3 linked regions of the Cricetulus griseus genome follow. The protein of the gene in region 1 binds, or shares a complex with, the protein of each later gene. Links are inferred from orthologs where the notes say so. Each region holds a gene or a part of one and is shown on either strand. Other genes may lie near its edges.

What was found.
Region 2: the proteins of Sort1 (region 1) and Nts are in contact, whole or in part, in a crystal structure (PDB 4PO7), measured with the Homo sapiens proteins. The link is inferred for Cricetulus griseus from reciprocal best matches to the Homo sapiens genes SORT1 and NTS. Residues at the interface, in NP_002950.3 of Homo sapiens: Val112, Ser113, Leu114, Ser115, Trp116, Lys260, Tyr304, Ser305, Phe306, Gly307, Leu308, Phe314, Ser316, Arg325, Ile327, Phe350, Tyr351, Ser352, Ile353, Tyr395, Gly399, Thr570, Gly571, Leu572, Ala573, Trp586, Trp597; in NP_006174.1 of Homo sapiens: Leu152, Tyr153, Glu154, Asn155, Pro160, Tyr161, Ile162, Leu163.
Region 3: the proteins of Sort1 (region 1) and Grn are in contact, whole or in part, in a crystal structure (PDB 8T8S), measured with the Homo sapiens proteins. The link is inferred for Cricetulus griseus from reciprocal best matches to the Homo sapiens genes SORT1 and GRN. Residues at the interface, in NP_002950.3 of Homo sapiens: Leu108, Gly110, Ser111, Val112, Ser113, Leu114, Ile174, Gly175, Pro176, Lys260, Tyr304, Ser305, Phe306, Gly307, Leu308, Phe314, Ala315, Ser316, Arg325, Ile327, Phe350, Tyr351, Ser352, Ile353, Leu354, Tyr395, Thr398, Gly399, Thr402, Phe404; in NP_002078.1 of Homo sapiens: Pro578, Arg579, Trp580, Asp581, Ala582, Pro583, Arg585, Arg590, Gln591, Leu592, Leu593.

What each region holds. Positions count from the first base shown.
Region 1 is NW_023276806.1:48,825,252-48,835,363, reverse strand, and holds the start of Sort1 (sortilin), read left to right. Parts: upstream 1-5,071; 5' UTR 5,072-5,101; coding exon 5,102-5,401; intron 5,402-10,112. Other genes in the region: Psma5 (proteasome subunit alpha type-5), read left to right, coding at 193-270.
Region 2 is NW_023276806.1:167,738,591-167,748,609, reverse strand, and holds the start of Nts (neurotensin/neuromedin N), read left to right. Parts: upstream 1-4,938; 5' UTR 4,939-5,088; coding exon 5,089-5,161; intron 5,162-7,314; coding exon 7,315-7,376; intron 7,377-9,725; coding exon 9,726-9,950; intron 9,951-10,019. UniProt on the Homo sapiens protein: Neurotensin may play an endocrine or paracrine role in the regulation of fat metabolism. It causes contraction of smooth muscle.
Region 3 is NC_048600.1:115,669,462-115,679,430, reverse strand, and holds the start of Grn (progranulin), read left to right. Parts: upstream 1-3,780; 5' UTR 3,781-3,853; coding exon 3,854-3,885; intron 3,886-6,291; coding exon 6,292-6,436; intron 6,437-6,546; coding exon 6,547-6,672; intron 6,673-6,790; coding exon 6,791-6,875; intron 6,876-7,303; coding exon 7,304-7,413; intron 7,414-7,513; coding exon 7,514-7,649; intron 7,650-7,773; coding exon 7,774-7,883; intron 7,884-8,071; coding exon 8,072-8,195; intron 8,196-8,333; coding exon 8,334-8,440; intron 8,441-8,527; coding exon 8,528-8,773; intron 8,774-8,985; coding exon 8,986-9,219; intron 9,220-9,307; coding exon 9,308-9,532; intron 9,533-9,619; coding exon 9,620-9,757; 3' UTR 9,758-9,969. UniProt on the Homo sapiens protein: Secreted protein that acts as a key regulator of lysosomal function and as a growth factor involved in inflammation, wound healing and cell proliferation. Regulates protein trafficking to lysosomes, and also the activity of lysosomal enzymes.

The sequences.
Region 1 (10,112 bases):
AAAACTGGTCAATAAGAAATTTTATTTTGGAGTCAGAGTTATTTTTGGGACCTGATGTCTGTAAAGAATATCCCAGGACAGCAGATCCCTTAGTTCGTAATGAACAGCTGCCTCACTAATACTTCTGACCAAGCTAGGGCCATCAGCAAGGAGCCTAGCCCAGCTTACTAACCCCTTTCTGTTTCTCTGCAGCTAGCCACGGTGCAGCCTGGTCAAAATTTCCACATGTTCACAAAGGAAGAACTGGAGGAGGTGATCAAGGACATTTAAGGAGGAGCCATCCTCAAACATCTGGGAACAATTTCAGTTCTCCTAATTGCCCTTAAACTTTATTTCCAGCTCTTATGTCATGGAAAAATCTCCAGTATATGTGTGTTTTTTTATGATGTCTGTACATAACAGCAATTCTGAAATAAAAAATTTTAAAATATTTGTTATTGTCTGAGCTCTTACAATTTTAAATACCTGTGTTGGTAAGCAAAAAGGATAGTGGTTAATACCCCTATTCTGTGACCATGTCTGTTTAAAATTATTGCAGTGGTTCTCTGCAATAGTCATTGCCAGCACTTTGGTGCTGGAGATGAAGTCTGACTAGTCCAGCACTTCCCGGTGGTTAGTAGATGTTAATACCGCTGTCTCTTAAGGAAACATACACTCTGTTGCTTCCTTTATATGGAGACACTGCTCATTGACCATCAAAAAAGACTGTCCTGGGGGCCTCCCCCAAACATTGATGAGTTGGGACAAGTCATCCCTTTGACTCTACCCCTTCTTTGTATTTTGATGGACAGTCTGGGAAGGGTACTTTTTTTTTTTTTTTTTTTTTAATTTATTATGCATTGTGTTCTGCCTGCACACCAGAAGAGGGAGCCAGATCTCATTATAGATGATGGTGAGCCACCATGTGATTGCTGGGAATTGAATTCAGGACCTCTGGAAGAGTGCTCTTAACCTCTGAGCCATCTCTCCAGCCCATTTCTGTTTTTAAATTTATTTTTATTTTATGTACATTGGTGTTTTGCCATGGGTGTAGGTCCTTTGGAACTAGAGTTACAGACAGTTGTAAGCTGCCGTGTGGGTGCTGGGAATTGAACCCAGGACCTCTAGAAGAGCCGTCAATGCTCTTAACTATGAGCCATCTCCCCAGCTCCATCTTTTTATGAAGTTAAGGACTATTAAAAAGCAAAAAAAACAACAAAGGCATGGCTTTGACCTCAGTAGCAATGAGAGTAATACACTTAGCTGTATAAGTAAGAGAACTGTTAAATTAAAAAGTAAATTAAAAAGTTTCTGTTAGACTTTGGAGTGAACTATGAACCTTCATCCCTGGATCTGTCTCAGATGATTGGTTAAGATTAACAGGCATTCCATTCGAGCCTCAGAAATGACCATAGGAACACTACAAACAGATGGAGAACATAAGGCTATGTCAGTGGACATAGAAAATTAAATGGTTTAGGGGCTGGAGAGATGGCTCAGTGGCTAATATCACTCTTCCAGAGGACCCAGGTTTGGTTCCCAGCACTTACATGGCAGCTCATAATTATCCATAACTCCAGTTACAGGGGCTCCAACACCCATTTCTGGCTTCCCCAGACACCAGGCGTACATGTGTTGCACAGAAATGCAGACAAAGCATCCATATGTGCTAGGCCGTGGTGGTGCATGCCTTAATCCCAGCACTTAGGAAGCAGAGGCAGGTAGATTTTTGTAAATTCAAGGCCAGCCTTGTCTACAGAGTGAGTTCCAGGACAGCCAAGGCTATATGCAGAAACCCTGTCTCTAAATAAATAAATACTTTTAAATTAACAACAAAAAAAGTATTGGGACTTGATCTTAGGTTTTTAAAGATTTCAAATCTTTAAACCAGGTCTTAAGTATCAGGTAGTTTGAATGTGTGCTATCTGAAGCATGACTAGTATTTATTTGAGGGTGGTAGAGAATAAATTGCAATTCATTGGTAGTTTAATTATTATTTGCTGGGCTTTCATTCAGAGGCTGTGCTTTGATGTTAAATAGTAACTAGTTGGGTATCTGAATTCATACAAAAGTCATAGTGTAGCTTACATTTGAAAACTGAAATTCACAGGAAGGAGGAAATTTTGCCCTATGTACGCACACAATGAAAACTCAGAGAACTCAGGCTTATTATCAACATTCCACAGGTTTCTAGTGATGTTGATACTGTTATAAAGTATGAAGTGAGATTTGTTTAGTCCCTGGCCACTGTTGTATTAAATTGTAGTAGAAGATATTATTAAAAATCCTCGCTGGGCATTTGTGGCCCATGCCTTTAATCCCAGCACTCCGGAGGCAGAGGCAGGTGGATCTCTCTGAGTTCAAGACCAGCCTGGTCTACAAGAGCTAGTTCCAGGACAGCCTCCAAAGTCACAGAGAAATCCTTTCTTGAAAAAAAAAAAAAAATCCTTTATCAGAGGGGAGGTGGGGGGAGGGAATGGGAGAAGAGGAGGGAGGGGAAACTGTAGTCTGGATGTAAAATGAATAAATTCAGTTAATAAATAATACTTTTTAAAATCCTGTTTCAATTTAGTCATTTAAGAAATTTATTGGGAAGCGGTCTGCTATATGTTAAGTAATGCACTGGAAATATAACTGTGGAAATGCCATCTGTGGTCTCCATACGGCCTAGGAAATTTACATTTAGTGGATTTGTGTGCGTGTGAGCCTGAGTCTATGTGAGGAACATGAGAAGGCCTGAAGAGGACGTTGGATCCCCTGGAACTACAGGTGGTTGTGAGCTGCCATGTATGTGTGTGCTGAGATCTAAACCTGGGTCTTCTGCAAGAGCTGCAAATGCTCCTAAGGTGGAACTAAGGAAAAACTTAGTGTAACCTCCCACACTGCAGCTCTTCCTCCCATTTCCAAGACAGGTGTGGGCACTTTATAACTGAGTAACAGTAACTGCCATACTAGCTATAACTAATGTGCATTGTTTAGCGAGACACAATACAATGTTAAGGTTACCTGTGTCCAAGAAATGACCTTACTTCGAAAAGGAATGGCTTTGTGATAACAGACTATTAATATTTTTGGTACAAATAAATTTGGGGAAAGTAGTTTTTAGTAACTTAACATGTTTGTAAAATTTACTTCTGGGGATAAAGATCTGGTGTAGTCTACGTCAGAGGTGGAGCCCTTGGGTAAGATCCTGGGTTTAATCCCCCTTGTTGCAAAAAAAGAAAAAAATCGGGTGCATGGGCAACTTACATGTCAACAATTTGAGGAAATCTAGCATACTATTAAGTATATACCTAAAATCAACCTATTAAAAGTGAAGATTAATTCAGGAGTGATAGGTAGCACATGCCCGAAGTCCCAGAACTTGGCAAGTTGAGGAAGGAGAATCAAGGATTTGAAGCCACCCTGGGCTTCAAAAACAGACACCCCCCCCCCACACACACACACACTAGACAAAAACCTAAACAATTGTACCAACAGCTAAAAGATGTGTCTGGTAGTTTCTCCAGCAGGTGGCACTGTTGAGTTAGCTTTCTTTTCCCCCATAGTAAGACAATAGACCATTCATCTTTGTCACCCAAACAAAGAAATATGCCTTTTGTAGCCCCTCTTCTCCCCTCCGTAACTGATCACATGCTACTGGAACTGACTGCCTTGTGATCTAATCCATAGTTGGCACGAATTAAAAATAAGCTGTACTTTTTAAAAAAATAATGTGACGTTTTTATTTATGGAAAGAAACATTCATCATTTTTCATCTTGTTTGGTAGCTCAGAAACTGGATCACTTTTTCTGTTGATTTGCAGTCCTGCTCAGCATTCAAAGCTTCACAACTCACTTCTTAGAGTGGTTTGGGGGGAGGGGAAAAACCTAAATATGTGAATAGTTTTGTTTGTAAAGAACAAAACCAGTACTTTGAAGTACATGCTCTGGGGTTGGGTGTACATTACAGGAAAACTCTCACTTGGGAATACTGTTACTTTGAAATTAAAAGTAACTTCCAGTTTGCTTTCTCTCTGGAATAACATTTGGCATACTTTGTATCTTTTTATCTGGCTTTGTGTGTTCCTACTGAAAAACTTAAAACGCTGGGAAGAGATGTAGCTAAGGATTTAGAACTGGTTTTACCAGCACTGCATGTTCTGGAAGTTGTGTGCGCAGCTTCTGAGGCGTAGAAACAGTGGAGAGTTTATTTACTGCAGGTGGGGTACTAATTTAGGAGGCATCAGATTCTGAGAAGAAACTGGTACGAGGCACTCACTGCAGGATTAAGGGTATTTTAGTTAACTAAAATCACAAAGTGCCTGTATTGAAAGGATCATATACAAAGTAGGTTTTAGGCAACTCTCTTCCCGTTTACCTACACCTGATGGCAAAGTTACCAACATTTCCAAGTCCAGGGAAGCCAGTAAGTAATTCTGCCTCTGGACTACCTCCCTGCAGACAGGAAGGTGGCTGAGGCCAAACGTGTTGGAAAGACTTTTGCGGCTTGCACCAGTCACGGGTGTAATGATGTTCATCTGCCTCCCCTGGATTTTCGCATTCACCTTCTTGGCTCCTTCAGCAGACAATGGGCGAGCCAGAGAGCCGGGGTTAAAACCCTGATGCACCAGTTTATGTCGGAGCCCCCTTTCCAGCGGAGAGTAGTTCAGGGATTCCCTGACTTTTCCAGGCGCAGTTTCCACCGAAGGAATTTTTAGGAGCATTTCAGGGGGCGGGGAGAGAAGGCAACATGACCCAATCCTAACCCGAGGGTCTCTGGAGGCGCCGCGAACCCGGGGGCTGAGCCGGGAGGTGGGGGAAGCCCCCCGGCCGACTCGGGGAGCCCAGCCCGCAGACGCCGAGCGACGGTGGGGAATGACCTCAGCCGTCCCTGCCACGTTCCAGCCAATCAGTCCCGCATCTAGGCATCCGAATCCAGGACCCCCGAAGCCGGAGGCGACGCGAGCCAATGAGGAGTGGGCCGGGGAAGAAGGACAGGCGGCCAGCCTATGGGGGCGAAGAGGCCCGGCTGCGCGTATCCAAGCAGCGCCGGACTGGGCTCGGGGGTGTGGCGCAGCGCCGGCGGGGGTGGGCGGGCGCGCCGGGTGGCAGGTGTCAGCGGCGTCTGCATTCGGCGGCGATGGAGCGGCCCCGGGGAGCTGCGGACGGCCTCTCGCGCTGGCCCCTCGGCCTCCTCCTGCTCCTGCAGCTGCTGCCGCCGGCCGCCGTCGGCCAGGACCGGCTGGACGCGCCGCCTCCGCCCGCGCCGCCTCCGCTGCGCTGGGCCGGGCCGGTCGGGGTGAGCTGGGGGCTGCGCGCTGCCGCGCCCGGGGGCCCCGTCCCCCGCGCTGGCCGTTGGCGCCGCGCGGCGCCTGCCGAGGACCAGGGCTGCGGCCGCCTCCCGGACTTCGTCGCCAAGCTGGCCAACAACACGCACCAGGTAAACGCGCGGGGGCCCGGGAGCCCCCCACAGTGGGACCAACCCCTCCCGGCTCGCGGTCCCCCTCGGCCGCCCCTCTCCCGCTGCACGCTACGAGGCTGGCTCGAAACCCTGGCTGCGGAGGGCGGCGGGGCGCGGGGGCGGCGCGGGTCGGGGTAGCTGCGGCCCGCCGGGCTGTGTGTCGTCACAGCAGAGGCAATCCGAGACTTTCACTCGCCGCATTCTTTGGCTTCTCAAGTTGTCAGAATCTCCGGGTCATCCCCGTTTCCCCCCCAGCCCCCACCCCGAATCTAGAATATCGGGTCCACCAACGCTGTTACCTACCAGGAAGCTGGAGGCATAATTACCCCTTGAGTGATTGCGGGAGAAGTTGGGCTGCCCAGAGGCAGAGGTGTGCCCTCTTCTGGGTCGGTACTTTCGGGGTGGTGAGGCTGGCGTCCAGAAATCCCACAGCAGTTGTTGTTAGGTCAAGGCTTGGGTTTCCATATTAAAGGAACACGCATGGAAACGAAGATGACATTGAGATCCAGCCATAAAATGACATCTCCGCTGCTCCTAAACAAAACAAAACAAAACAAAACAAAACAAAACAAAACAAAAATATGGTTCAAGATGTTTTCTCAGGATGCAAGCGCAGAACCCTCTGACCTGACCCAAAATGACCTTGAGAGGCTTCCCGAACCAAAAACCAAAACCCTAAACCCTGTGTGCAGAGCCCAGAGAACAGAGCAGGACCTCTGGGACCTAGATTAGAAGCAGTTGCAGGACAGACCAGAATTATCCAGAAGTTCCATCTGGATGGTCTCACAGAGTTGCCAACTGTCCCAAATATGAGTCGGGGTTATAACCTATCACCCCTCTCTCTATAACCTGTCACGAACCCCAGGCTCTTTAAATTCCCTTGCTCCAGACCCATTGTGGAAAGAGGCTCCAGGGTGCCATGTTTCCTTGTAGGTGGACCTACGATGAGACTGGTGTTGGCTTCTGTGAGTGACCCGAGAGTCTATGATTTGTCTTATTCCTTCAACGCTGGCCTCTAACCTAGTGTTGAACCCTGATCAGGACCGCTCTATCCTGACCTGAATTCTAATAACTATAAAGCATACTACAGAGGTTCCTCTTGAGCCTCTTGGTCAAGACTTTACAAGTTGTGTTGTTTCTGTTTTGGGGCACAAGTATCCGAACCTTGACACATTACTGCATTGAGAAACTGTTGGCAAAGTCTTGGTTTCAGCATAACTAGAGCATTTTCCTCCTCTATTTTGCTAAAATTAACAATTGTTGCAACCCACACATGGGGGAAAGGCATCTTCAGTTCACTGTGTTTTCTGTTGTCTTTTCCTCTTTTCAAAGAGAAATTGTACACTGAGAGGGAAGTAGGTAACTCGTGTTCTGTACCTGTTCTGTCTTTGTTTACATTCCATCTCAGTGTCACTGGAACCTCAGTGTCCCCTTGGGCTTTCTTTTGAGATCCATCCTTGCTAGTGTGACATAATTATCCAATCAGGGGACACAAGAAAAACTGATGAGCCCAAGCAGCAAGCTGTATGAGGGTAGTTAAGAGGTGCTGAAGGGTGAGACTGGTTGGGCGCAGATAAAGTGGAATAAATACTGGAAAATCTTCCTATTTAATGAAAAAAATGATGTAGACTTCCCTTTCTCAGTAGGTTGAGAAAGAGTTTACAACACCGATACTTCATGCAGATTATGCCAGGCCCGCAGCTTCCTTGCACCAGCCAGACCCAGCAATCTTACCCCATATTTCAGATCCTTCTCTTGCTGCATGACCCGTCTTCAGATCTGCAACAATCCCTGGTTGAATATGTCATTAATAATAAACCGATTCCAAAGGAAGAGACAGAGAAACCTGGTTCAAGAAATGCAGAAACCTCCTTCTTTGGAATTCATAATCAAAGCGTTTTTCTCTATTTCATTTTATTTAGTTACAGTTTGTTTTTTTTCTTCTTCTTCAATCTTCTCTATTAAAATGGCTGGCTCCCCCCTCCTCAGTCATTACCCTTCCATAATTATTCTTAATCGAGTTTATCCTTTTTGTAATTTGAATGCCTGGGTTTCTATTGTTGTTTGTTTACGTGGAACCTTTGTTAACTGCCTTCAACTTAGAAGTCAAGGTAGTTCTCAAAAGCTCAACTTCTTCCAGAAATTATGAAGTAATTCTTGTGTTTTTCAAGTCTGTGTTTTCTCAGATGTCATAATAACATCACGCTACACTGGACTGAAGAGATCTGGTATTTGGGGACCCTTTATAACAGGGTGAAATAAAAGCATCAGCGTAACAGAACAACTTATTTATTAAATTTATTGTCAGAGACATTGTGTATTTTCAGACAGTTGGAGTGGGAAGGTGTTTTTTGGAGTCTTTTTTTTTCTGTAAAATGTGAAAGGATCCAACCCCCCCCCCCAGAAAAAACACAGAAGCTCTTAGTTCTCATTTCTTACAACTTGGTGGGTTTTTTTGGTTTTTGGTTTTTGGTTTTTTTTTTTTTTTTCTTTCAAATCCTATCATGAATGTGTGTGAATGCTTCCCAAAGGCTCAGAGCTGGGCGGGGAGGGGCTGCCAAATTACAAAGGTATTAAGGCATGACAATGCACAACTGCTAAAGGTTTTAGCAAGTCTCTAGACTGGCTCCTATAGCTTATAATAATTTATACCATGGTGGTAGGGGAGGGGTTGCTGGGGATTAAACCCCACACCTTGCTCATACTAGGCAAGTGCTTGTTCTGCCACTAAGCCATATTCCCAGCTCTAGCATTTCATCTTAGGAAATTTACAAAGTAAAGAGTATGCCTTTATATTGTGGCTTTTCACCCTATGCTGTGACTCGGGCTTCTTAACTCATGAAACCCAGTAAGTTGTTCTCTTCCCTGAGCCTCCCTGTTTCTCTCTAGGTTTCCTTTCATAGTCTTTTAGATCTTGGTTGTAAGTCTGTTTCAAGTGTGTTGTATTTATTTTGATGGCATATGCTGTTCACAAAGGGGTCATAATGAGTCAGTGATCTATGGGATTGAAGTAAGCAGAGAAAATACATCTTTTTCCTAGTTACAGTACTATCAATAAATACAATAAACTCGTAAGAAAGTGGAAATAAAAAATATTGGCTGTTACTGAAACAGCAAAAAGAATGGCAAGACAATGAAGGCCGAAGATCACTGCTTACATCTTACAAAAAACAAAACAAAACAAAACAAAACAAAACAAAAAACCACCCTATACTTCCTGATCTTGTTCTGAGGGTTTGGCATGCCATGGAAAGACTCTGCAGCCCCCTGGGGCAGGCGCTGGGCCAGGCTTGCCTGCGTTTGAGTTCTCACTGTTATTATGTTAGCTTCACTAAGTTACTTAAGCCTACCCATCTCGTTCCTAATCTTTAAAATGGAGCTAAGCAAGCATGCTTAGGAGAAGCAAACAAGGGTGCATAAAGTTACTCTCTGCATTAGCAGACCCAAAGTCCCTGATACTTAGCACTCAGTTACAAGTGTTGCTTTCTTTCTTCATCCATGGACTTTCTTAGCCTCAATTGTCTTCTATTGCTCTTAACCCCTTCTATTGCTCAGGCCTCAGTATTAAGCGACTGTTGCCTTTATGTGTTTGGAATGTTCACAGCACATATAACCTTTGTACATGGGAGAAATTGAGCAGGCCCAGAGGATTTTCTTAATCTTGGTTGCTAAGTTGGGTTGCTTCAAAACATTCCCCCATAAGCACCCCTTTGAGGGTAGGCATGAAAGTCTGTCTTAAAGAAACAGTAGACATGCCTTTCTTGGCCAGAGTCACAGTGGTGGCTGACATAATTTCCTTGCTTCTCATTCCTGTGTACAGACCATTTGATAATTTCCTTAAAAGTTCTTAAACTTATGATTAACAGGGCCGGGAGCCGTTGCTCACTCCTCCCTAGGCTCCTGTCACTGGCTACTTTACCCATAACTTCCCAGCTTCTACCCTGACATCAAAGCCTCTGGTTCCTTAAGCAAACAGGCCCTGTGGAGAGGCTGTTGTGCGGCCTCAGCCCTGAGAAGAATGCCTGTGTTTGTTTGCCACACTGGCAGGGCTGAGTCCCGGCAGAGGGCTTGGTGTGTCTGTTGGCGCCTTCGGAGAGCTGCCGTTCCCAGACTGTTGGGGATCACCAGACCTTTGTAACACCCGAAAATCTTAACTTTAACTGTCCCAGAACTTCCTGCCTCATTTACCCCAGCAATAGCCTGTCTTCATTCTGCACCCTACCCCACCCCCATCCTCCAATTCTCCACTTCCACTCTCCAGTTTATCTCATTTCTTACAAGGCCCTTTCCACTCAATTTTGGGTCAAGGCACAGGAATTCAGGAGGCTGCCCCTCTTGGTCCTGGTTGAGCAGAGTGAGCCATGGCCTCAGGGAGAGAAGCCCTCTCCCATACGGACAGGCCTGCTGGTGATTTTAGGATGACACATGCTCTGCATTCCCGGGGGAACCATTCGCAGCTATGATGAGTCAGGTCTCTTTCACCTGGGGAAAGGCTGATCTCCTGAAGGGCCCAGCTTTGGTTGACATGAAGGTAAAAGGCTAGCCAGGTGTGACAAATGGCTCAAAAGGAATAGGTTATAATAGGTAAGTTCACTGCTGGCTCCGGTATTTGCCTCTATGAATTGCAATTTTTAGTTAGAAGTTCTTGTGTTCTCTCTGCCTGGGAAGGTGACTGGAAGCAGCTCCTGTC
Region 2 (10,019 bases), about 120 Mb from region 1:
CTTTAAATAATTCAAATAAACTATTCATAAATAGTAACGAAAATAAGTCACCATGCAGCATATTACAGATGCTGTGTAAATAAAAACTTCATAACATAAGAAGGGAGATGATTTTATTTCAGGTAAAACCTCTTACTCTAGATAATTGCACTAATTTGTAGAAGTGGAAAAAACATGGGAGATGCTTTCTGAAAGAATTTTTCTTTAACTTCTTAGTTAGAGAGGGGTCTTACAGAACAAAGCCATACAAGGAGCATCAATCTGAGCATTATATATCGGGGTACATTCCAGGCCTTTATTTTCTTAAATGTGAGAAAGAAGAAAGTAAACAAAATCTGTACTATCACAATGTGGAACAGCTTCATTCAGTGTGATAACTCATAATATGCGAATCACAAACAAACCAGGGGTAACAATTAGAGTTTCAGCTGTAAAATTTGCTTTGGTTATACAAATCCATTACCAACTCTCCCCAGTTAGTTTTCTGCAAGGCTATAGTAACAGAAACTGGAAGAACCATCAAAAATGAGCTGCAAAATTGTAGAGATTATGGGCAATGTGACCTTATACTTACAGGGGGAAGCTGACCATTTGCTTTTCATTTACCTAGATCTCCAAGGTCTATGTAATGCACATTTAGTGTATAAGATAGTGTATATAAGTGTGGGTGTATGCACACACATATCTAACTTTATGTCATGAAAATGGTCTTTAATTGTACAGAAAAAGATCAATTGGGCTTACAGGAGTCTGATTTATTGTTTGTTCAGATGAATCACAGCCACAGTTGAAGACCTGAGATGCATTTAGAGAAATAAAACTGAAGCCAGTTTATCTAAACTTTCGGCTGATAAAGACACATGGCTCCAGGATGATCTCCATTTGTGACTTTTCTCAGAGTTGATATGCCTAGCAACAGAGGGAAAGGATGGCTGGGGAAGGCAGAGAAGGTTAAATAACTCTAAAGGCTCACATAAAAAAAAAGAAAGATGAAAAAGAATCACGGAAACCTAAGAGATTCTGGCTCACAAGAATGACAAATGTGACATGAAGAAAACATGAGAAGTATCTAAAAGTTAGCATTTTAGTTAGGCTCAGGTGCGTGAACTTGAACGTACTGAAGAAATACAAAAGAAATATAGTCCTTTCCAGCTAAATTATGCAGTTTTTCATAAATAGTATGAGTTTTAGGAGAACTGGGGGAAAACAAAAGGCAATGAGAATACCTCAGATTTCTAACTTGGGAAGTTGTGATGGAATCAGATCACAAAAGAAAGTCTTTTTAAGATGAACAACAATATCACAAGGAGTACAGAACAGTGGAAGGAAGACAGCAGGCTGCAGATGATAGAGAAAAGGCATCTTCAGGTGTGTGTCAGTACAGAAGCATCAGCAAGCCTAGGGAAGGTTCAGTCATGTGAGGGAGTCTCTGAATGTGCAAAAGGAGCTGGTGTGGACCTGTAGGGCCACCGTCCATCAAGTGGTTTCAGGCTCTCTCTTCTCCAAATTAGACAAGTTTACACATCACTGTTTTATAATTACTAATTACTTAGATGTCTTTGTTGATTATTTTGAGAAACTGGTTAATAAATGTGCAACAAATGTCTATCCAAAAGTAGAAGTCATCTCCTGTAGAGATCTTTCCATCACCAGGACACTGTGACCTTGAGCTGGAAACCCAACTCATGAAGAGTGGCACAGCTGAGCACAAGTTGCTTATTACTCCATGAAGCAGCATTCCAGGTAAAACTGCTGTTGAATAAAAATTGTTCACATATATCCATAGAAAGATACCTACAATTCTGTGTGAAAGGTATGATTTGTGTCAGTTTCAGTGCGTGTGTGTGTGTGTGTGTGTGTGTGTGTGTGTGTGTGTGTGTGTATGTGTTTATATGTGCATGGTGTATGACCATGTATATGTTTTGTGTGTGAATGTGTGTATGCATGTGTATATGTGTGTATGTGTATGAATATATAAGTATGTGTGTATGGGTGAATGTGTAGATATGTGTGTGTATGACATGAGCAGGTGTATGAGAATGTGTGTATGTTTGCAGGTATATGTGTGTATATCTGTGTGCACATGTGTATGTATGTGTGTCATTGTACATACATGCAACTGCATGTGTATGGAGGCCAGAGACTCACAGTGGGTACCTTTATTTGATTCTTTTAAGAGAGACTACCAATGAAACATGTAGTGGCATCTTGGTCTGCCAGTGGACTTGGGGTGGTGGCCATAGAACCTGAAACGCATATATTTGCTTAAGTTAGGTTGCCAAAGTACTTCAGTTCTCCTTAGCCTTTTCTTCCCTCCCTGCAAGTCTGTCATTAATAGGAGCACACTACTACTCCCAGCATTTTACACGGGTTCCTGATATCCAAACTCACGTGTTCATGCTTTTACTACAAGCTTTTCATCAAATAAGGCACCTCTTCTGATGATATGTTTCACTTTGCTATCCATTTCCATTGAGAACACTTCCTCCCACTCTCAGCGTTCCTTAGTTGCCTGTAGTTTTTGAGTAGATTAAGCTGCCTACTGTGCTCTCCTTTGTCCATGTTAGTATGTCTACTGATGCTTGATGCTTCAGGTCGTGTTTTGGCAGTCATGTTGGTGAGACATTAGGATGTAGCTTCTGACATTGTAGGAGACAAGCTCTCATAGCAAACTCCCAGTTTTTCCTGTTCTTACACTCTTTCTGCCCCATCTTCTGCAATGATCCCCAAGCTTTAGATGGAGGAATTGTGGGTTCGTTTTTTTCATTTTTTACTTACTTTAAATATATTCAAATCACCTATTCTGAATGGTCTTCTGCCACATTTACAAATTGTCAGTCTTTTTACTCACAGTATGTCTCAAAGCACTTTGTGGGGTATTTGTTTCTCTGTCAGGTCTCTGTTATTTTGTTTAGAAATAGCTGAGTCTCAGAGAAGCCCTGTCTTGGCCATTCTGTTTGCTATGGCTCCCAGGAATCAAGCCTAAACCACTGGGCACCTGTACCTTCCTGCCGAAACAGACTCTTTAATAGTCTTTCTACAACAGCTCCAGTAAACTAGGCTAAAAGGGAACGGGTAGAGTATTTTATAATACCAGTGAAAGTCATTTACCAACACTGTAACAGAAAAATTACCTACGATAATCTCTGATTTTTGTGTCATTTGACATTGGTTGATACATATTCTTGTAATATTTCTCTGGAATCATACAACTAAAAATAATTCTCACTTTAACAATGAATATTCATGTGGTATGCTTAAAATGAGTTAAAATGTTATTTTTTCTTAATTATTCAGAAATACATTTATAAACACTTCCCCAAGCTCCACTTGCTAGGAAATCACTCGGGGGAATAAGCATCAAATTTTCCTTTCACTATTAGAAGGCTAGCACATATTTTAACACCTTTTTGAAGATTATTCTTTGTGTTTTAAAATTTAAAAGCAAAGAAAATAATTTAAATATTATGCAAATAATATAATTTATTGTCTTCATTAAGTCTGAAATTATTCTGGGATAATGAGAAAAGTAAGTAACCCTGCTCCCAGTGAAAATGAAAAGCCTTCTAAACTACCACTGCTCCCCCCAGTGGTAGAAAAAATCCATGCATGCTCCAGGCTTGCCAGTCAGTCATCCTTGAGAAAACTGTCAAGAGTTGAATTCAGTATATTTGTGTCACAGAAACTACAAATCAAAATTAAAATACCATAAAAGACAACTACTATTTAGCTTTTGGGCAATAGGAATGTATAGTAACTTCCTTTAAGTTTGGTGCAAAGACTGAGACGTTAGTATCATAGTAAATACAGGATAGTATAAACCCACTGTCTGAAGTACCAATCTTGATTTTCCCTTTAGTTATTATTACATGGTTAGTGTTCTGAACAAACTAAACAAATTTCAGAAATCTTTGCTTTCAAATATTCATATCCATAATACCTACCAGTTCAGAACATGCAGGAATAAAGCTAGTCCCCCCAAAAGGCATTTGAGCTATACGCCCTTGCAAGAACCAAGAGAAGGAAAGAATAGCATTGTAACTCACAAATTATCTGAGAATTCTTAGAAATTTGACTTTGGTGAATAGCTACCACACAGAATATTTTTCTTTCTAAATGTAGAATCTCATTTTGACAATAAAAAAGAAGATCAAACTGAGAGGGGGCAGTTGACAGAATGCAGAAAAAAGTTAGGAGAGTTCGGTGAAATAAAGGAGAGAGAAAAATAAGGAAGCGATGCATGGTTTACCTTATAACACATAAGCTGTTTATGTCTTTATTATTTTAAACATTCAATTAAAGTCCAACATATGCAGTTTAGTCTTTCCCCAGTTACATATAATAAACACTCAACTCAGTGGCAAATAATACTATTCATTGGATCTAATATTCTTCCTTTTAAAAACTGATTTTCCCTTTCTTTGATTTGTTTTGTTATCTCATTATTGTTTCCAACTTGTGCCTATTTCCATTCTTATTTTAGCATGTGCAATGTACATTTTCTATGAGTTTTGAAACCACAAAACATTTTCTCTAAAGTTTGTGTTACCAGAAAATATATTCAAGTTTTTAAGTCTCCGAAGCATAAGGAGTCACTGATTTTGCCCTAGAGCTTTTGCCTAAATACTAGGAATATATCAGATATCAAAATGACAACTCCTGGAGCAGGGGCATGGGAGAAAATCAAGAAAGAATGCTACCAGGAGAGCTCACTATGCTGTATATGCCAGTGCTTTTTTTTTTTTTTTTTTTTGAACAACTCTTTCCGTGAGTCAGAAATCCTGAGCAACAGCTGCAATTAGGGAAGATCGTCACTTTCAATCAAGGTTCATGGGTGGGGGATGAGATGAGGGACAAAGGAAAAGGAGGAGGGAGTGGGGGGAGAAGGGGAGGGATGGAGATGAAGGCAGGGCACATCCTGTACAGTCATGACATCACCCTCCTGCTCATATATATATAGGGAATGGCCAGAGCATCCTTCATAGTTCACTCATTTTCAAAGCCAGCTGAAGGCAAGAGAAAGCACGGAGAGAAGAGCTCCTTCAGTGTTTTTCTGACTGTCTGGACCTGCTTGTCAGAGGCTGAAAAATGATGGCAGGAGTGAACATCCAGCTAGTGTGCCTGGTGCTTCTGGCTTTCAGCTCCTGGAGTCTGTGCTCAGGTAAGTGCAACTACCTTTCACAACTCTCCTAAGTGATTTCTCTCTTGCAGGCTGCTGCTGCTCAGGTTAATGGATCCAGGAGGAGCTCCTCTCTCTTTCCCTCTAACTGCCTGTTAGTGACAGAAACTGTGAATATCACGTTTCTCTCCTGTTCTGATTATAAGAACTGAACTGTTTGTTTTACTTTTAAGAATCTGTAAAGCTGTAAATGTGGTATCAAGGAAATACAACATATTTATTACCCTTTGGAATATAACCACTAAAGAGAAAAGAGATAAGAGTAATAAAACAAAGATGAAAATTTGAATTGGGCTGGTCATTATTGAGGAGAATTGAAGCAGTGCTTGTCAGCATGCAGATATTAAAATATCACATTCACAAACATTTATTCTCATCTTTTCTCATTCTCTTACATGGTGACTTACCTTTGTGATTCTTTTCAAATTATTTTTAACTCTATGTGTTTGTTCCGACACAGGAAATAAATATCAATAAATAAATGAGTGAGCCTTATTTACAGAATACTATTTTTAATGTAACACAAAATGTCTCATGTCCTTTCTAAAAGTACATTTTATAGTCTTTCATTGTTACAGAGTTGTAATATTTATGTAGCTGTTGCTTTTCTGGATGTAAGTTAAGTAGGCAGAGATTATAACCACAAAATTTATATACTTACATTTATGACAAAATTTGGCTTCAACGTGTTTTTATATGACAGCTAAAGAGAAGAAATATATTATTATCAGATATGTATCAACTCTCCTTGAAAATAAGATACATTTGAAAGAGTAATGTGAAATATTTTGATGATTGCAATGTGTTTTAATTAATAATAGACAATAAATGAACAAACACACCACAGTGGAAATTCCTATGGGATAAATGAAATAAAAATCACTTACCTGATACTTGTAGATATTATAGTTAACAACTAGGAATCTAACATGTTAGTTTAAACTCCTGCTAAGATTTACAAGTACAAATATAACTCTAACAGCATGGAATGTTATTTGTTTAGAATGATTTCACTATTTTGTAAGCATAAAATCCTGTAAATGTTTTATGAGAACAACACAGTTTCCCATAAATACGACTTTATCAAATTAGTTATAATTAGAGAATTAAGTAGGTTATTGATTAAAAACTCTATATTAATTGAAATCATTTTTCTGTGATAAGTGTATATTTTATCAGTAATTAATATGATTAATTTTGTTATTCATCTTGAAAAACAAGCAAACATGTATTTGTAATAAGCCAAACTAAAGTGTCTCTGGAATGACTTAGTTCTTACATGTGCTTTATTGGTGGGTTGCATCAGGTGGGTGTCTGTGTTTTAATGACTGTAGAGTGGAAGACTTTTTTTAAGCTCTGCCTTGATTTATCACAAAAGGCTAATGGATATTAAAATGTTCAACAACTGTTTAATATTTCTAAATGTTGCTTCTCTATACAATGCTCATAAAAGGAATGATGGAAAATGTGTTCCAAAATGATTCAGGGATCTGTTTTCAATACTGCTTACCATGTGTTGATGGAGAGCTCTGCCTTTGCTTAAGCCATTTCCTCACTTGCTTATGATAAAATTGAAAGCACACGATCCAAAACTCTTATTTAAAACAGAAACTGATTCCTTCAAAGACTGTTTTATAGAATGACATTTGTAGTGAAGTGAATCTCAGTATCATTTTTATTCTAAAATTACTAGTGAGAAATTCCCTATGGCTTCTCCAGGAAATAAGAAACAAAACTTGTATTCATATTTTGTTCTTTATTCCACACATAGTTTCTATATGTGTGAACTACTGCTGGTAAGAATGAGAATTAGGGAGCATATTTGCTAAGGTCTACATTAGACAATATAATTAAATGTTTTACTGTGATTCAGAGATGAAACAATTCTAAATCATGGATACATTGCTTAGCAAATTATCATGGCTCATTTTCTTAGAAGTGATTTATTACTGTAGCTGTCAGCAGAAAATTAAGCTGTGATGTGTTTCTTTCTGAATACTGCTTTGAAGGAATTACATGCAGAAGACAATCAGCTTCAGAGACTAATTATTTAAATTAATTTGAAATATATTGGTTGCAATATAATGACATGATGTGTGACTACATAGTAAATGTGTGGTTTTGATTTTATTCAGACTCCGAAGAGGACATGAGAGCATTAGAGGCAGACTTATTGACAAACATGCATGCATCCAAGGTAATTTTTCTTCCCTTTAATCCAGGCCAGAAGAACATGTGAATTCCCACTCTAAACACTATATTATTTTCTTATTCTAATAAATATAGGTATAGTCACCCACCTCAAAGCTGGAAAGGCCTTTGGGAGACATTTCTTATTTGAGAGATTTTATTTTTTCTTGTAAGACAGTAGTTCTCAACCTTCCTAATGTTGTGATCCTTTTGTATAGTTCCTCTTGTCGTGCTAAACCCAACCATAAAATTATTTTCATTGGTAATTGACAACTCTAATTCTGCTACTTTTATGAATCACAATGTGAATATTTTTAGAGATAGAAGTTTGCCAAAGGGTTTGTGACCCACAGGTTGAGAACCACTGTTCTGAGGAGTCAGGGGTTTTGATATGAAAGATAAAGTGTCTATAGGGCTGTCAATTGGTATGTTTCAATTTTAATTAAGCAGGCACAGATAATGTTATGGAGACAGGGAAACATGCTTAAATTGTTTCCATGACTATTAGATTGGCAGAATGAAAGGTATGTTTGCCTCAGGTTAATGGAACAAGTGAAGTCCAATAGAAAGGTTTATGTTTTTGTTAATTGTGAAAAATGTATTTTCTAAAATATGGCATGAAGGCAACATGGGGAGGAAATATGGCATAGAAAAAAGTTATAGACACACAAACATTAACCTGGAGATCCAGTCCTAAAAACAAGACTTCTGCTCTATTCAATCTTAGGCAACTGAGTTAGTTAATAGGATTGATCTTGGCTTTCCATATCTTTTTAAGTACAACAGCAGGAGTGTAGAATGTAGAAATTTACGTTTTTCTCATAGGTGATTATAAACTCTACTACCTATAACAGAGGTCACATTCTCATTCTTTCAAAAGCATTAGCAAAAGATATCCAATTGTTATTGAATGATTTCACCGAAGTTCTATATTCTGAGCAAGATTTTGCAAGCTTGAGAACACCTTTTCTAATCACCAGTCTTTGCCTAGGAATAAAACTGTTACAATATATCACATTACCATGTTACACTAGGAAATTAATTGATTCAGAATTAGTTAATCACTGTATATCAAATTGATTGTTAAAAGACAGGTTTCCAATGAAAAGATCTAAACTTATAGCTAGGTGACACCAGATGACTTTAGTTATGTGCACTTTGTTGACAACCTCAGATCCACCATCTGATAAGTTGATCTCAGTTCAGTGACTCATAGATAGGGAGGGTAAACCATATCTCTTAGGTTACATGTAATAATGAAACAGAGGTGATGAGGACTATATTTAGAATTTGTTATTTAGACATAAAACTTTCTTCAAATATATTGTCAAATATGTGTCTCCTTTGTTATCCTTTGCTCCAGTTCCGTTTCCTGACAGGAGCCACAGTGACATTTTTGACTGTTCGACAAAAAGAAAAGTATGCAGTCAGTTATCACAACTTTTTGACCTCCCTTTACTTTCTGTGTGCAAATGTGTGTGGGGAGAATATTCTTGTCTAGTCTATTTCCTACCAACCCACATATGCATTCACATGTAAGATCTCAGGATATTTTATTTTAAAACTTTTCGATTTCCTTTAATGCTAATGTAGTTGATAATAGAATGTTCTTTTAAAATTATGGAGGTGTGTATATAGTTTTTGCTATAAACACCACCAAAAGAACCAGACTAAACAGGTTACACACACACACACCACACCACACACACACACACACACAACACACACAATATATATATATATAATATATATATATATATATATTACACAAATAAATGTGTGTGCTTAAACAGTAACAACCAAAGAAATGAGGCCATAAACTTAAGAGTAGTAGCAAACATGGGAAGGAGTTGAGAAAGAGTATGTGGGAGAGGATGGCAGGGGGAAAGTGATGTAATTCTATCTCAATGTAAAGTCTATTTTAACAATAGTTGAGGGCAGAAACAATGTTCTAAGAAACTAATCTTAGGAAACACTGAAATAAAAAATCTCTATAGAACTTTCCAAATGTAAAATTGAAATAACATTTTAACTTGTAAGGCATTAGGTATTGTTGAAATTAAATGAAGATTGTTTCTTCTAAAATGTCATACTAACTCAGAAAATTGCATGCAATGGTTGGATAATCTTGGTTAAGACAGGTAGTAGAAAGGATTCCAAGATTCTTGAAAACAGAGTGAAAATCCTTATACTCATTGATTGGAATTTCTGTGAGTTAAGAAGATAATAAAAATGATTCACACATTCACAGTTCTATCAAAAGTAGAAATTAAAATACTATGGCTGACCACAATCAATGCATAATTCCTACTCTACTAACAGACTTTAATTGTAGTATCTTTTTTCAATATTTCAGATCAGCAAAGCAAGTCCTCCCTCTTGGAAAATGACCTTGCTAAATGTCTGCAGCCTTATAAATAACCTGAACAGCCCAGCTGGGGAAGTAGGAGATATGCATGAAGATGATCTTGTTGGAAAAAGGAAACTGCCTGTTGTTCTGGATGGCTTTAGCTTGGAAGCAATGCTGACCATATTCCAGCTCCAAAAAATCTGCCACAGCAGGGCCTTTCAACACTGGGAGGTACAAAAGAACCCAAAGATGGACATTAGGGTCATTGCACTAGTGGGCTCTCGTTTGTATTTATGTCTA
Region 3 (9,969 bases), on another chromosome or scaffold:
ATAATTTCCAAGTGTGTCTCAAATGCTTCATGGGTGGTGCTTCTGTTGTTATTGTCTTTATTTTCATTTTTGTTCATAAGGCATACCTACACTAAAGGACATTTACTTTTAGAGTCTGGTGTGTGATGGCATCCGGAAGGCAGAGGCAAGTGGATCTGTAGCAATTTGAGGCAAGTCTGGTCTCCATAGTGAGTCCCTGTCTCAAAAACAAACAAATAAACGTGTGATTCAATTAACTGGACATTCTGAATTTTATCTGACATGTCAAGATCCTGGAGACTGGAGGAGCTCCCACACTGGTATAGTCATGGCCCTTCTATCGTGACAGAGCAGCAACCATGACTGACAAAAACCCTGAAGGGACTGTTGAAGAACAAGGGAGAGACTGGGAGAAGGGAAAGGTCACAGGAGGGAGAGCCCCACAGCCCTGACTTGGCCAACCAGAGCAGAGGGAGGTGTAACTTTACTGGGGATACCTACAAAAACCTCCATCACCCAACACAGGATGTCCAGTGACTTGCACAGCCTCCCTCCAGCATAGTCTGGCATCTGGGCATCAGACTGGAAGTGGACAGCACGTGTTAATAATGACAGTATCAGGACCTCTTACACACCAGGTATGTGCTTGATATGGAGCCACACCCAGTCTCTATTTTCTATTTATAAATTCTGACCAGGAATGGGACAAGACGAACACACACACACACACACACACACACACACACACACACTCACACACACACACACACACACACACACACACACACACACACACACACACACACACCACACACACACACACACACACACACACACACAACACACACACACACACACTCACACACACACACACACACTCACACACACAGTCACACACACACACACACACCACAACACACACACACTCAGTCACACACACCACACACAGACACACACATACCACACACACACACAGAGGAAAGATTGATCAATAGATTTTAGATGATTTAACATCACAAAACACAAAACACAAGTGACAGGCAGGGAGGGAATGTCTGCAAAATATGTAATATCCAGTATATATAAGCACCGACATAGTATAGTACAGTAAAAGTATAGGAAAACAGAGCAAAGGGTAACATGGTGGCTAACTCTGTGTGTCCCTTTATGTGTTTTGCATGATGTTAAATTTAGGTCTGGGTAGACCAAATTGCCCTTTATCATTTGAGTGGGGCTCACCCAAACAGTGTAAAGCCTGAATCATTAAAAAAGATGGTCTGGGGCCGGGGGCTGGAAAGATGGCTCAGAGGTTAAGAGCACTGGCTGCTGTTCCAGAGGTCCTGAGTTTGAGTCCCAGCAACCACATGGTGGCTCACAACCATCTATAAGAGGATATGATGCCCTCTCTGGTGTGCAAATATATGTACAGAGCACTCATATAAAAAGTAAGTAAAATTTTAAATAAAAAATGGCCTGGATTTGCTTCTACCATTAGCTTTCCTGGGCCTTGAACGCCCAGTCTACTCCAAAGATTTAAGATGGGGACCGGAGATGTGGCTCAGAGGTAGAGCACTTGTCCCACATTCCCCAACCCTACAACAAACATAATAAAATTCAGAGGCTAGGGTGATGGCTCAGTGGTCAAGTCCTTGCCCTGCAAGTGTGAGGTGGAGCTGTGCACATTGAAAGCAATGATGCTGGGAGTGGAGACTGGTAGATCCCAGAGGCCCATTGGCCAGCCTGGCTGAAATGACCATCTGCTGTTTCTGTGGGTGACTGAGGACATCTCAAAATATTAGGTAGAGCCGAGCACAGTGCCACATGCCTTTAATCCCAGCACTTGTAAGGCAGACGCAGATGGATCTCTGTGAATTCGAGGCCAGCCTGATCTACAGAGGAGTTCCAGGACAGCCAGGGTTACTCATAGAAACCCTGTGTCTCAAACAACAAAAACAACAGGCCCCTCCCCCCAACCAAGGCGGACATTGAGAGACTGACTGGCAAAAAATATCATTGTCCTATGATATATGTGAGCCTACTGCTCCCTCTGGCTGTCTCTTTCTTTCGAATTGAACCCAGAACATTTCATGCTAGGTGAGAGCTCTACCGTTACTTAAGCTATAGCCCCCAGAACTTTGTTTCCCATTTTATTTTTTTGTGTGTGTATGTTCTAGTGTGTGAGCATGTAAGTCTGTGGGTAGACTTATGCTATGGCATATGTGCAGAAGTCAGAGGATGACTTCTGGGGAGTCATGTCTTTGATTTTACCATGTGAGTCACAGGGATCAAACTCAGGTTGTCAGCTTTGTTGGTAAGTGCCTTTACCTGCTGAGTTTACCAGCCCCAGCCCCCAACAATTCTTTTTTTCTTATAAGGCAGTCCTGGGGCTGGGATGGAGCTCAGTTGATAGCATTTGCCTAGCTGACACAGGCCCTAGGCTTAACCCCAGAACCACAGAAACAGCACAGTTGCCTGCACTTGCAATCTCAGAGCTTGGGAGGCAGCAGGGGCAGGGAAACAAGAAGTTCTGGGTCATACTCAGATACATATCAAGTTGGAGGCTGATCTGGAACACAGGAGACCCTGACTCAGAGAGCTGCAAGGATACTGGGGCTGTGTTAAGCAATTACAGAATTGCAGAATTACCCTAGATACTCCACGTTGGCCTCCACTTTCTGGGATTCCTGTAGCTCTAGCCCAAGAAGCCCACCAGGCTCCTCTCTATGCAAGACTCTTACTGTCCTGGATTTATTCGTAGGGCTGTCCCCATTCCCCTGAGTGGCCTACCAGTCAAGCTCTTTGCTCCTCCCAGGGGACCTATCTTCCACACCAACTCTGCCTTTCCTACAAGGCCCAGCCTTGGGCTTTCCTGGGGCCTGTCCTCTTCCTGGCAGGTCTCCAATCAGCCATTTCTGTCTGGCCCAGGCCCTTTGGCACTCAGCAGCCTGGCTTTTGTTTCTGGCTAATCTGTTCTACTGCTAAAAATCTCTATTCATGGACCATGACAATTCCTCGAAGGTAGGGGTAGCTGAAACTAGGAGGCCTCTTGCACCTCCACAGCCACCAGCCTGCTTCACCAGCCCATGCCACATACTTAGCTCATGCCCAATGCCCTTACTTTGAATGTGGCTTTTAACTCTTGCTAGACACTGTACTCCCCATCTGCTTTCCTAACCTCTTCCGGAGTGCCTCTGTCCCGCCTAACCAGCCCCTTAAAATTCCTCTAGATTCAGTTCAGCGTGATACCATCTCCTGGCTAGCTCAAAGTGGATTTACATCTATTCTTCCCCTACCTTCAGCCAATCTCCTGCCTGGTACTCGCCCTTGAACATTTATTAGATTTAGTATCCCACCCAAATCTGGGGACTGTTTATCTTTACCCTCCCAACTATCTTTCAGCTTGTTTGGAGTCCTGGCTGCCTAGCGTGAAAACAGTGAATGTACAAATGTCCCGATCCAGAAGCCGACGCTATGCTGTAAACGACCTTGAACGCGCGCCCCGCAGGCGCCTTCTTAACTGTCGGTGGCCTTAGGTACGCAAGCCCCATCTCTAGAACACCTCGCCAGGCGCCGCCAGGGCCCTGGGGGGTGGGAGGAAAGCAACCGAACAAGCAAGCGAGGCCCTGGGGGAGGCGGGCTATGGTGTCATATGATTGCCTGGTCACATGATTCCTAGACATGGGGTGTGGGGAGAGAGAGGAAAGGGAGGAGGAGTGTGGATTGAGTAGAAAAGAAACACAGCATTCCTGGAGAGTCCCGCCTCTATGTAGACAAGTAGCCAATGGAAGCCCCGGATTCCCGACCCAGGGCTAATGGAAACTGAGGTGGGCGGGCCATCGGGCAGCCAAGCCCTAGTCCGAGAGCTGACAGCCAGATGCCTCCCAGGGAGTGCGGACCCCGAAGCAGGTAGGAGGACCCGCAGCAGACATCTCCCTGGCTGCTGTCCAGAGGCCTGGCCAGGCTTGCTGTGCAACTGAGGCTGCCCCGGAGCCTCAGCTCAGAGACGAGAGAAGTCCTGCCTCTTGAAACTCCCCTCGGGGTTTCAGATGCACTAACGAGGGTTTGTCATTTGGGAGGAGTGGGAACAGTTGCTGTAGACACCCCCAACAAGAGGCTCCCCTGCCCAGCATGTCGGAAAGCTGCAGGGCTTTCTCCAGAGCAGGAAGCGCCCCACTCTTGGGCCAGCTTCATCTCTCTCGGTGCCTCCCACCTCTTGTCTCCAGGTCCCGGCACTTTCTCATTCTGGTGCCGCCAGTAGTCTTCGCGGCGACTTGCAGTGGGTGGGGATCTCCCGCCCTTGGTCCCAGAGCTCAGAGGAGTTGGGAGCAGGAGTTGGGCGTGGTGGCAGAATCCCTGGGTTGTGTCAGCCGTACTTCCTTTATGGGGGGCGAGAGAGCTAACTTCCGCCTCTCCCCGCCACTTTTCCCTGCTCCTCTGCTGGATTGGCTCACCTTTTGGGAAATTCATCTCCCCTTGACACTCCGGAGTCGGGGGTGCCACCTAGTGGAAGATCTCGAAGCTAGGGCCTTGAAAGGCTCCTCCAGTCCTCTCAGGCTATTTCAACAGAGTGGTGTAGAGGTGGCCAGAGGTCACCACTCCCTAACCCTAATGAAAGGGATTAGGTCTCCCCTACCCCATTCTAATCTGGCCAGGAGATGACCTCTGGGATATTCTTTGAGAGGGTGCTTGAAAACCTAGAGAAGGAAGGGGAGGGGGCACAATGAGGGACAGATCCTCTATGTAGCCCAGGCTGACCTCATAGTCACCCTGTAGCCTGGAATTTGTAATCCTCCCACCTTAGCCTCCCAAGTGCAGGGATCAAAAGCATGTTTGTCATGCCTATCGGAAGCTTTGAGGTCTGGATGTTGGGATTTTGCCTTCCATGGCCACCAGTATTCAGAGTTTGAGGCACAGGAAACAATTTCTGAGGCCCTCAGCAATTGATCAGTGGCAGATTTTACACCGTCCCTGTACCCACCCTTTCTTTTGTAGATTTTTTTGTTTTGCTTTTGTTTTTGAGCAGGATCTTTTTGTCCCTGGCTGTCCTGGAACTTGCTATGTAGACCAGACTGGCCTTGAACTCACAGAGATCCACCTGCCTCTGCTTCTGGATGCTAGGATTAAAGGCGTGTGCCACCACCGTCTGGCTGTACCCACCCTATTTCTATCCTGTGTAGGTCACCTGCCTGGGAAATGTTCTGCCCGCTTCCCTCTGCTTGGACCTCTGGCCTCTGGGATTTGGGGTCCATTCCCTGGCAATGTTCAGGGATGTCAGTTGACATAAGAATCCAGGTCCAATATCTGCAGTCTGTTTTCTCTGACTTGATACCTGGGCATGGATTTGAAAAGTGAAAGTAATCTGATCACTGCTTTGCATAGTTGTGCAGAGAAATACAGTAAGGAAGGGCAAAGTGGCTCCCTGGAGGGTCTTTGAATATTGCTGTTTTTGCTGCCCCAGGCAGGGGAGTGTCACTCTGGGTTGCTGGGTAGGCCAGCTGTGCTGGGGAAAGACTTATTAGGGAAGTGAGAGACTCGGTTCCTCCTGCTAAGGCAGAGGGCCAGTGAAGAAGTACACTTAACTTTGCTCTTGCAGCTGAGTTTCGATTTCTGAGTAGGGAGAAACAGGTGGTATGTTTGAGGAGTCCAAAGGAGTCCTGGTGATGCTGAGGAGGGCTGGTTATGAAATTAGCTTCAAGGCTAATCCAGCCACCATGTGCCCTTCCCCTGGGTGGGGAGGGGACAGTTGTGGGCAGGCAGTGGCTGGCCTGTGGGAAAGGCAGCCCAGACTCCCCTGGCCACTGCACTTCCGTTTTCACAACTTTCTCAACCCCTGGTTTCCCATATGATCATGTGATTGACAACTCTGTTTCCCCAAGGCCTTTGAAAAGTACATGTGGGAGTTCAGTGCCAGGCAGCGAGGTGAGGCTGGCTGTCCTCTTGTGGCCGCTGAAGTCTCCTCCCAGTTAGCCCACAGTCCCATAAATCAAAGCCACATGGCTTCCTGACTGTCATAACTCCGCGCCTCTCCAGTCGCCTATAGTGTCAGGTGTTAGGCCAAGTGTGATGACATGATGGACACTTGTGTTCATGCCAGCATTCGTGCTCACCGTGTGTGCAAGCTGGTGCAAGTGTGATGCTTACAGTGTAGGATGCTGACTCAGGCAGCTGCTTGCCTTCCTGCTCACTTGTTGAGAAGTTTCAATAAATCCAAGGCATGTCATGCCTTGGCCAGGGCATGGGGAACTGCATGGACTCAGAATAGAAGGTGGCATAAGCTTAAGATGGCTGCCAAACTTTCCTTGGCATTTGCAGGCAGACCATGTGGACCCTGGTAAGCTGGCTGGCCTTCATGGCAGGCCTGGTGGCTGGAACACAGTGTCCAGATGGTCAGTCGTGCCCTATTGTCTGCTGCCTGGACCCCGGAGGAGCCAGCTACAGCTGCTGCAACCCTATTCTGGTGAGTGTCTCACGCCCCAGCTGGCATCCTGGCCTTTTGAAGGGTTACCTTGGATTGGCCAGAAGAGGTCTGGCACAGATCCTCTGGTATATGTCATTGCTTCTTTCCAGGACACATTGCCTATGGTAATGAGCGATCGTCTAAGTGGCATCTGTCAGGTCCATGACCACTGTCCTGGAAGTTACTCGTGTCTCCTCACTGTGTCAGGGACTTCCAGTTGCTGCCCTTTCCCTAAGGTGAGGGTGCTATTGACATAGGCTGTGTGCTTAAGATTTGCGTTTACCCCTTTCCACTTTCCTAGTCCCAGACAAAAGGCTTTTCCTAGGCCCACACAGGCTTCTCTGTGTCCCACAGGGTATATCTTGTGGTGATGGCTACCACTGCTGTCCCCGGGGCTTCCACTGTAGTTCGGATGGGACAACCTGCTTCCGACATTCAGGTGCTGTGGGGCACCAGGGATGGAGGCAGGTGGGGAGGGAGAGAGGGGGGGTGGGCATGATGTGGTACCTGAAATGCCCAGGAGCCCAACTGCTTGGGTGGCTCTGATTCCTTTTCTGCTCTGAACAGAGGGGTGGTTCACAGAGTAGAAGGGGACAGACAACGATGCAGAACTCCAGGTGATGTAGGCCATGGAGAGGCCATGCTGGAGCGATTTAACACCCGCCCACTTTCCTTGGATGCCTCTGTCATCTCTCTGAAGTAGGGGCTAGCTTGTGGGAAGAGTGGCCTGGGATCCTGGGTGATCACCTAAGCCCCAGTACCAGCTATTAGACCTTCTGAAGCTGGCCCTGCAGTGCCTGTAGTGCCGATGCTGGGGGTGACCTTTGCTGACTGGATTGGTGGGATCCTGGACTCTCCTATCTGCAGATAGCCTCCTGAGGGCTGTCCAGTGCCCCGGTAGCCAATTCGAATGTCCGGAATCCTCTACCTGTTGCGTTATGCTTGATGGTTCCTGGGGGTGCTGCCCCATGCCCCAGGTACAGATGTGGGGAAATGGGGGTGACTAGCGGGTAGTAGGGGTACAGCTGGGAGTTGGGGCTGATGAAGATGGATTATGGACCATCTATCTCTTGTCAGGCCTCTTGCTGTGAAGACAAAATACATTGCTGTCCCCATGGGGCCTTCTGTGACATGATTCATACAGAATGCATTTCACCTAGGGGCACCCACCCCCTGTTAAAGAAGTTCCCTGCACAAAGGAAAAGCAGGGCAGGTGAGCAGGGGAGAAACCATCCAGCTAGCACTTGGGGTGGGGGGAAGCCACATTAACTCTTGGCTAGAAAAGAAGTTCCCCTCCATCCTGGCAGCCCCTCCCTCACATCTCATTCCTCTTTCAGTGGCTTTGCATTTTTCGGTGGTGTGCCCTGATGCCCAGACCCAGTGCCCTGATGATTCTACCTGCTGTGAGCTACCCAGTGGGAAGTATGGTTGCTGTCCAATGCCCAATGTGAGTGAAGAGCTGTGCCTGGACATATCCTTACAAGGGGGCTCTAGGAACTGGGCTGATTGCCGGGAGCCTCAAGGCTCATGCTGCCCCCTAGTGGGAGATTGGGGCAGTGTTGGTCGTCAGTCTGGCTTGCTCCCTATGCTCTCTAGCCACTGGAATTCAGGGTCCCATATTTGTCCCTACCCTAGGCCGTCTGCTGTTCCGACCATCTGCACTGCTGTCCCCAGGACACTGTGTGTGACCTGATCCAGAGTAAGTGCCTATCCAAGAAGTCCACCACGTACCTCCTGTCCAGGCTGTTTGGAAACCCAGGTACAGGGGGTAGACTATTTCATCCGCTCAGTTCTGGAACGGATGTGGGGGTGGGTGTTTGGCTGCATGGAGGGACCTGCCAGATGTATCCTGTGGATTGAGATAGCTACATACTCCATCTTCAACACCTGGTTCCAGTGCCTATTCTGAAGGAGGTGGAGTGCGACTCGGAGGTGAGCTGCCCAGATGGATACACTTGCTGCTACCTTACCATCGGGTCCTGGGGCTGCTGTCCATTTAGCAAGGTACCTGGGAGCAGTGGGTATACGCATCCAAACAGCCTGCAACTAGCTTGGCTCCAGTACTTATTGGTCTTTCTCTGCCCACCTTAGGCTGTGTGTTGTGAGGACCATATACACTGCTGCCCAGAAGGGTTTCATTGTCACACAGAGACAGGAACCTGTGAAATGGGAGGCCTCCGGGTGCCCTGGATGAAGAAGGTCAAAGCCCCCCTCAGCCTGCTAGATGCAGAAATCTTCCAGAGTGATGTCCCCTGTGATGACTTCACTGTCTGTCCTCCTGACAATACCTGCTGCAGACTCAGTTCTGGGGGCTGGGGCTGTTGTCCCATCCCAGAGGTACAAGGGTAGGGGGACAGGAGTATGGGTGTGGGGACAGCATCTTGGCCTGGGCAGGTGGGTGGCAGGTGTCCTGTTGCTTTATTTTTATGCATTCTGCCTAGTCCAGGGTGGTACCCCGGGCTGTGGTTTGCCCACTGGTGGAGGATCTATGAGCAGGAGAGGGATTTCCATAGTCCCTCCAAAGAACACTCTTCTCTGCCCACCCCTAGGCTGTCTGCTGTGCAGATCACCAGCATTGCTGCCCCAAGGGCTTCACATGTACAGCGGAGGGGTACTGTCAGGGGGGAAACAGAATGGTGGCTGTCCTGGAGAAGATACACCCTCACGAGACATTTCTGTCCCAAATTGGAGATAACAATTGTGACCAGCACACCAGCTGTCCGGTGGGGCAGACCTGCTGCCCTAGCCTAAAGGGAGACTGGGCCTGCTGCCAGTTACCCCATGTGAGTTTCCACCCACCGACCTGGGCGAAAGGAGCTGTGTTCTTGGGTTAGTATAGCACAGCAGTGTGATACCATCCCCCATTCCCAGGCTGTGTGCTGTGAAGACCGGCAGCACTGCTGCCCGACTGGGTACATCTGCAACGTGAAGGCAAGGACTTGTGAGAAGGCTGTGAATTCCATCCAGATTCCTGTCCACCTGACCTTAGGCCCTCAGGTTGGGGAAGTGGAGTGTGGGACAGGGCATTACTGCCATGATGGCCAAACCTGTTGTAGAAACAGCCAAGGAGGCTGGGCCTGCTGTCCCTACCTAGAGGTCAGTGCCATCCCTGATCCTGGGGCTGGGTGTCACCATGGGGTGGGTTCTGCCTTGTCCAGTACTAACTCTCCCTTGACCATCCAGGGCACTTGCTGTGCAGATGGCCATCACTGTTGTCCCATTGGCTTCCACTGTTCAGTCAAGGGAACCAAGTGTTTTCGAAGGAAGATCCCTCACTGGGACACATCTTTGACGAATCCAGCCCCAAGACAGCTGCTGTAAGGAGGGGCTAAAGACTAAAGAACTCCACAGCCCTGGGTTCAGAGGTTATCCATCACTCAGGCCTCCCTAAACCACCCCTTCCCCTAGAGTCACCCCATCACCATGGGAGGTGGGACCTCAAACTAAGACCTTTTATGCAAGGAAGGCTGTGGCAAAAGCCCCATTTCAAACTGCCACTTCTTCCGATTTCTGTGAACCTATGGCCAGGTGCT